Arabidopsis thaliana: one gene and its partner. The protein of the gene in region 2 interacts with the protein of the main gene of each other region in a biochemical or structural test. Each region holds a gene or a part of one and is shown on either strand. Other genes may lie near its edges.

The links. The genes of interacting proteins can lie anywhere in the genome.
Region 1: of the proteins of PRR3 (region 2) and WNK1, one has a biochemical effect on the other in vitro, tested with the Arabidopsis thaliana proteins (2 studies listed by BioGRID, with this or other methods).

What each region holds. Positions count from the first base shown.
Region 1 is NC_003074.8:1,352,682-1,356,436, forward strand, and holds the start of WNK1 (with no lysine (K) kinase 1), read left to right. Parts: upstream 1-1,854; 5' UTR 1,855-2,402; coding exon 2,403-2,477; intron 2,478-2,558; coding exon 2,559-2,596; intron 2,597-3,036; coding exon 3,037-3,264; exon of another isoform or gene 3,265-3,342; coding exon 3,343-3,563; intron 3,564-3,652; coding exon 3,653-3,755. UniProt on the Arabidopsis thaliana protein: Regulates flowering time by modulating the photoperiod pathway. Phosphorylates APRR3.
Region 2 is NC_003076.8:24,199,267-24,203,021, reverse strand, and holds the start of PRR3 (pseudo-response regulator 3), read left to right. Parts: upstream 1-1,657; 5' UTR 1,658-1,893; exon of another isoform or gene 1,894-2,359; 5' UTR 2,360-2,519; coding exon 2,520-2,787; intron 2,788-2,875; coding exon 2,876-3,037; intron 3,038-3,133; coding exon 3,134-3,522; intron 3,523-3,613; coding exon 3,614-3,755. Other genes in the region: PUM18 (pumilio 18), read right to left, coding at 85-1,068. UniProt on the Arabidopsis thaliana protein: Controls photoperiodic flowering response. Component of the circadian clock. Controls the degradation of APRR1/TOC1 by the SCF(ZTL) complex. Expression of several members of the ARR-like family is controlled by circadian rhythm.

The sequences.
Region 1 (3,755 bases), on a different chromosome or scaffold from region 2:
ATACCTCGTTCTACCTAGTTTAGTATTAAAAAAAAATTAGTGTAAAATACAAATGATATTCACAGTTACTTGCATTAACATTAAATAAGAATAGAAAATTAACATCTATCAAACAAAAAAACTTTATGGTAAAGTAAAATGGTGTGAGAGGAAAAGGCCAAATGGATAAGATTTGTGGTTGGTCTGATTCATTATTCACAACCAACCAAGTCTTTATTTGCTTCTTTTTTTTTCGTTTAAAAGGCTATGCTGATCGTGCATGTCTTTGTATTCACCCACATGCACATGTGTGTTCTTTCTCTAATATAAGATTGGCCCCCATCAATCTGTTTATTTCCAAATATTATGATAAATCAAATATTTATACCCTGAATTAAATCAGACTTGATTATAGTTAGTCATATTGCACATGATTCCTGTTCACTGTACGATATGTAAATTATGTTGATGGATTGTCGTGTAAATGAAATGATGTATGGTCAAGACTCAAGATAGATAACACGAGCAACTTTAACTTAACACGTGGCCAAACTAACCTTTGTTGCCTCCTTTGGAACATCTAGTCGACATGCTAATGTATGGTCTCGCTGTCTCCAATCCATTTCAGAATTCTTAAATTTTGTGTTTTTATTTCCAAGCTTCTATTGGTAACATTTAGTTAGTTATTTGTAACAAAAACGAAAACATGAGTTAGTTATATAGCATTGTTGTTTGATGGTAGAAGAAGTAGACTAGTCGTTACGATGTAGTTGTATATGTTATAGCGATTGCAATGATTCGTTATAATGATTTTCTTTTTAGATGAATGTCGTCTAATCAAAATTTTGGTTCCAGTTTTTTTTTACCTTTTTCTAAAAATTAATTTTCCAATAGCGTATATGAAACCAAAATATAAGACGGATACTATAATTCAGATTAAAAATGTTGTAGCTAATATTTTAGTATGTAAAATCAACACAAAAAGCATGTCAGCAAACAATATTCAAAACTTTATATCTAAAATCTTTCTAAAAAAAAAAGTAACTTTACCTAAAATATGGTCAAATTCGTAGTGCATTAGGGGATGATACCATTCCCCACCAATGAACGTAATCATAGAACAATGATCATATCCTTTGATTTATTCAAACGAACGATGATCATTTCAAAATACTAGAATATCAATTATATAGTTGAAATGATGATGGCATATACGCTAATACAAATGCAATCCGCACAATGGAATAAACGTATGGAACAGTCTATCATTCCCATCACTCAAAAGATACGTACGAGAGAGCACCTTTCTATTTCCTTTTCTAAGATAGCTGAGACCTGACACGATCACATCCACACGAGGCAACCCAATATTCATATATAATTTGTTTTGAATGTTGATTGTTCTAATTGAAATGAAAACCAGTCGAAGTTTTTAATGACATAAACTAAACCTTTATCAGAATATGGTTCTAAATGTAGTAATTTGTTAATCATATCACACAGTTTAGCCGGTAGGGAGAATTTTTTTTCGGCACGTTATCTCGATGAGATTCATTATTTTGGTAGGTTCAACATTTATTTCACAACAATACTCCGTCGGCTAATGGAATTATTACTATTTGCAAGCATCATCTTTGTGTATAACAAAACAAAACTAAAATCAAAACAAAAGAAAGGTAAAGTAATAGTAACATTTTTGTTTTCTCTAGCTTGTGAATTTGTATAGAATAATCACTAAAATGAATCAATCATAATTTTCAAGTATTCAAGTTACTTTTCCACCGAACAATTGTTAATACTACCACAGAATAATTTCCAATAAATAATTGTCGATAGAGGACACTAATTATATATACCGTATAAAATAAAATCCGTTGCAATTATTTAGAAGTATGTAAAAAGGTTTAAGGAACAAAAAAAAGGTTCCATAAGAAGAAGAAGAAAAAAAATGAAGGATAGATATTTGTTTAGTTTATATCCCATTTTTGGACCACCGTTCCCTAAAGAAACGCACACCGTCTTTGTCTTCTCTCACGAGGTGCTTGTATTTCTCTGTCATCAACCAAAAAAAAAAAACTTCCATTGAACTATTGAAGAGAGAAAAGCTTGGCTTCTCTGTCTTCTAAGCTCAAATCCTCCTTTTCTCTCTCTCTCTATAGAGTTTGAGTATTTATTAGAATGTAATAATGAGAGAGTCTATACAGATACTGTTCTTATCTACTACATGAGTTTCATTGCCCTGTTCAACTCCTTTTGTCAGAGAAGAACAAAAACAATAATATGATTATGCAGAAATTGCTATAAGAAGAAACCTAAACTCTCTCCCATTTATTAAAAGAGAGACGTTTGTATTGGTAGATCTATTCTTATTTTTCCTTTTGGGATTTTTTTATTTGGTTCGTAATTGTGAGATTGAAAGAGAGATGAACAATCTGAGTTATCTTGAACCAGATTACTCTGAGTTTGTTGAAGTTGATCCTACTGGAAGATATGGAAGAGTAATGTTTCCTCCTATCAATCAATCAATCTCAATTATTTTGTTTGATCTTTTGTTGACTTCATTGTTCTTGTTGTTGCAGTACAATGAAGTTCTTGGTAAAGGAGCTTCAAAGACTGTGTGAGAATCTCTCCCTTCTTCTCTTCTTTTTCTGCTTCATGTTTCTCTCAAAGTTTGCAGCTTTTTTTTCTTCTGGATCTGGTGATGATTTAAGCCTAATCTGTTGTTCTTTCTTCATAAAGTTTGTAACTTTTTGTTTTCCCAGTCAAAACCCATTTGTGATCCAACAAATTTGTCCTTACGATTTTTGTGTGTTTTGGATTCATGATTGAATCAAATCCTTTAAAAGAGGAAATAAAAAAGTTGAGCTTTTGTTTTTTTTTGCTTCATTGAATCACTTCTAGTTTGGTCATTAATTCCCCACAAGAGAAATTTCCAACAACTTTGCTTTTTTTGGATCTCTTTATTGCTTTGACTTATACCAAATTCAGATTCTGCAAACAAAAAAACTTCTTTGCTCATACATACATTAATCTTCTTTCTTTCTTTTGATTTTGTAGTTATAGAGCATTTGATGAATATGAAGGCATAGAAGTAGCATGGAACCAAGTTAAGCTATATGATTTCCTACAAAGCCCTGAGGATCTTGAGAGGCTTTACTGTGAGATTCATCTTCTCAAGACTCTAAAACATAAGAACATCATGAAATTCTACACTTCTTGGGTCGATACCGCCAATCGAAATATCAATTTCGTCACTGAATTGTTCACTTCTGGCACCTTAAGACAGTAAGATTCTCTTGTAAACATACTTTTCTGTCGTTGGTTTTAGTTTATCTTTAACGATAACTTCATTTATGGATACAGATATAGACTCAGACATAAGAGAGTGAACATAAGAGCTATGAAGCATTGGTGCAGACAAATCTTGAGAGGCTTACATTATCTTCACAGCCATGATCCTCCTGTGATCCACAGGGATCTCAAATGTGACAACATTTTCGTTAACGGGAATCAAGGAGAGGTCAAGATTGGAGATCTTGGCCTTGCTGCTATTTTAAGAAAGTCCCATGCTGCTCACTGCGTCGGTACTATATGCAAATCCAAATCATATCCTTTCTGCTTTTTAGCTGAGTTTCTTTGTTTCTGATTGTGTAAAGTTTTGATCTTTTGTTAGGGACTCCTGAGTTCATGGCACCTGAAGTTTACGAAGAAGCATATAACGAATTGGTTGATATATACTCGTTCGGTATGTGTATTTTGGAGATGGTTACGTTTGA
Region 2 (3,755 bases):
CTTACCAGAGTTATGTAACTACATTGAACACCGGAACAATTAAACTATTGTAAGCTGGTTTGAAAAATAAACACAGAGTTATAATCAGCAACGAAGCCTAAATGAGTCCAAGATGTTTGCAATGTTGCTTCCGTGAGATCTACGCAAGAGACGGATAAAAGGCATGAGCTTCTGCACCAAACCCCAAAACAGATCCATCCTAGACATCTTGGTGAATCTCAGAGCCTTGACCACCACGAAATTCCCAAACTCATTCCTCGCCAGCCTCATCAACCTGTCTCCATCGCAACCCAAAAGCTCCACAACCACCACAACCATTGACTCCTCCACCTCCAAAAGCTTCTCCACGATGTAGCTTCCATACTTCTTAAACGATAGCTCAATGCACTGACCATAAAGATTAACGGCGATGTTGTGAATGCAACGCGAGTCATACAGTGTAAGCACATGTTGGACCACAAAGTTCCCTGAAGCATCGTTGCTTAGCCGGAGAGCGTTGGATGCGACCAATTCTAGTAGCTGATCTCTGTAGTAAGGATCGTCAGCGTCGGTTATGATATCATTGAGCGCGATGCAGCCGTGCTGGTCACACGCTAGGTCGAGAGCGTGGTAGAGAATGCGCTCGTACAATGCCTTTTTCATCACCTTGTCGAAAACGACCATGGCTCGTATCGTCACGTAGGATGCGTATTTGTCGGTCGTGATGTGGAGGAAGCGGCGCAAGATAGCGGCACAGAAGAAGGCGTCCACGTCATCTGATTTGCCGAGGAGCTTCTGCACGCGTCTCGAGCCGAACTTGGTTGTGACGATCGACATGAAGTAATCGGAGTCAGACGTAAGCAACGAGGCCATCCTCTGAAGCTCTGTTTTGTCTGAATTTGAGATCATCTCTTTAAAGTAAGACACACCATCGCCGTCAGTCATTAGGTTGAACAGAGCTGCGTGCAAGGGCGTGGCGGAGGCGCGTGGGGCGAATCCAGGAGGAGGAATGGAACCGGAGATTCCTTTAGGGTTTGGTAAAGCATTGAACATGGTCGACATTGAAAAGGGATTATCAGCGACTGCCATTGATAAATCTCTTGATGATCTACAGAAATTTCTCTAGAAAAGGGTTTAATCAGTTTGTGTGATTTGGGAGAAGTATGAGAGACTTGTGAATGAGAGATCTGTGGTGATGCGTAGAGTATTTATAGAAAAGTTAGGGCTTTTGTTTTTCTAGTTACAATTACACAACTCGGATTACTACTAGGAAAAGGAAAAGGAAACTTATTTGGTGGAGTTTCCTTTTTGTTTTGTCAATTTTCCTTTTTTCTTTGCATTTTCGTAACTGTCATGATTTTAATCTATCTTTTTTTGGTGTGTGAAGATAATAATAATCTATCTGAAACAAATGGAAATATGTAATTTGTTTTGTTGTAAATCGACAATAATTTAACATGTCGATAATCTCTAAAGTCTAAACCAACCCCTCGCAGTCCAAGCTTTTGATTTTGTCCACGTCACTAATCTCAGCATGCGTAAATTTATCTGGTCCTACTTGACACGTAGGTTAGTTCTGCCACGTCATCAAACTCCAAAATAATATCTTCTCTGACCTTTTTGTTCTACCACCTCCCAAAAAATCCCAGTCTTCTCTTCCTCTGATTCTCTATCAAGTTTTTTAAATTTTCTTTCTTTTTATTCTATTTTAGTAGCAATTTGGTTCTGTAAAGTTGTTGGTAAAAGAAAAATAGATACGAATCAAAACATTTTTGAATGATTAGGTGATTAAATGCTAAGCAAATCAGATTAAGCAAAAATCTGTTCTTTTTTGGTTGTAATTTGGTTTTTCAAGTCAGATATGGTGAGAGATTCTGGTGGTGGTGGTGTTCATCAATGGATTATGTGAAAAAGGTTTGCTTTTGTTTGTCTTGTCGCTTTTACAATCTGCTGCTGTTTGAATTTTGTGCTTATTTCATTAAGTATTATAGCTTAGAGCCTTAGAGTTTGATTTTGTATCTGGTTCTGTAGAGTTTATAAGAAATTTGAGAAAGTAGGAGATCTTTACAATCATCTAATGAATAAAAGAAACTGTGTTCAAAGTTTGTTAACTACTTACCAAGTACTGTGATAATTTTCCATTGGAACATTGATAGCTTTTGATTTTAGAAACAACAAGTTTCAGATTGTTTTCTAAAGCTGAGTGTGTGCTACTATTGAAATTTGATTTGGCTTGTTTAGTTTTTCTTTGGACAAGTTTGATGATTTATCCAAATTCAGTTTTTTATTTTTTGGTTCTGGTGTGAGACTGTGATCTTCTTACGGAATGTTGCTTTTTTTTTTGTTTCTCGTTTCTTATTGGGCTGAGGTTTTGGTGAAGGGATTAGAATAAGTTTGGGGAAAGAAGAAATGTGCAAGTGTTATGTCAGTGTAGAGGGGAAGTTTCTGCAGAATCTTAGCTGTTACTTGATGCTGCTTCTATTCTATCTTGTTCATGGAGGCTGGTCTTGACACTTTCATGAGATATTAGTATTCTAAAAATGTGTTTTAATAACATTGAAACTGGTGATGAAGTGGAAACCGAGAGGCAAGTGTTTGGTTCATCTGAAGAAGATGAATTTCGAGTTGAAGATACTGCTAGAAATACCAACAATGTACAGATTTCTCAACAACAGCAGCAACCGCTAGCTCATGTTGTGAAGTGGGAGAGGTATCTCCCAGTTAGATCGCTTAAGGTTCTTCTGGTGGAGAATGATGACTCAACACGCCATATTGTTACTGCCCTTTTAAAGAATTGCAGCTATGAAGGTTTTCTTATATTGAATTGATCATCCTTGTTTAGCAATCACATTTTTGCTTTTGACTAACAGTTGTAAATTTGGAAACTTTTTGTCAGTTACTGCTGTTCCGGATGTCCTTGAAGCCTGGAGAATTCTAGAAGATGAGAAAAGTTGCATTGATCTTGTCTTAACAGAGGTTGACATGCCTGTGCATTCAGGAACCGGTCTGCTGTCCAAGATTATGAGCCATAAGACACTTAAGAACATCCCCGTCATAAGTATTTACTCAAATCCTTGATTAAATTTTTGTTTATCCAGCTTCAATATGCCATGCTCAGTTTGTGTAACTCAAGATGTGATGTTTCTTTTTGTAGTGATGTCATCACATGATTCTATGGTTCTGGTCTTTAAGTGTTTGTCGAATGGTGCTGTTGATTTTCTCGTGAAACCCATTAGAAAGAACGAACTAAAGAATCTTTGGCAACATGTCTGGAGAAGATGTCACAGCGTAAGAGTTCTGATTTGGTTACCTGTTTTACAAAAGTTACTCTGTGTTTTTTTCTTACTTATGCGTTTATTGATTTACCAGTCTAGCGGAAGCGGAAGTGAGAGTGGAATACATGACAAGAAGTCGGTGAAACCTGAAAGCACCCAAGGGTCAGAAAATGATGCCAGCATCAGTGATGAACACAGGAATGAAAGTGGGAGTAGTGGTGGTTTGAGTAACCAAGATGGTGGGAGTGATAACGGGAGTGGAACTCAGGTAATCTGTTCTATGGCTATAGATAATAACAATGTCTGAATAAATCGGTTTATAAATTTTTGATTGGTTTTGCATTTATAAAAATATGTAGAGTTCTTGGACAAAAAGAGCCAGTGATACTAAGAGCACCTCGCCTTCAAATCAATTTCCCGATGCACCCAACAAGAAAGGAACCTATGAAAATGGATGTGCACATGTTAATAGACTGAAGGAGGCTGAAGATCAGAAGGAAC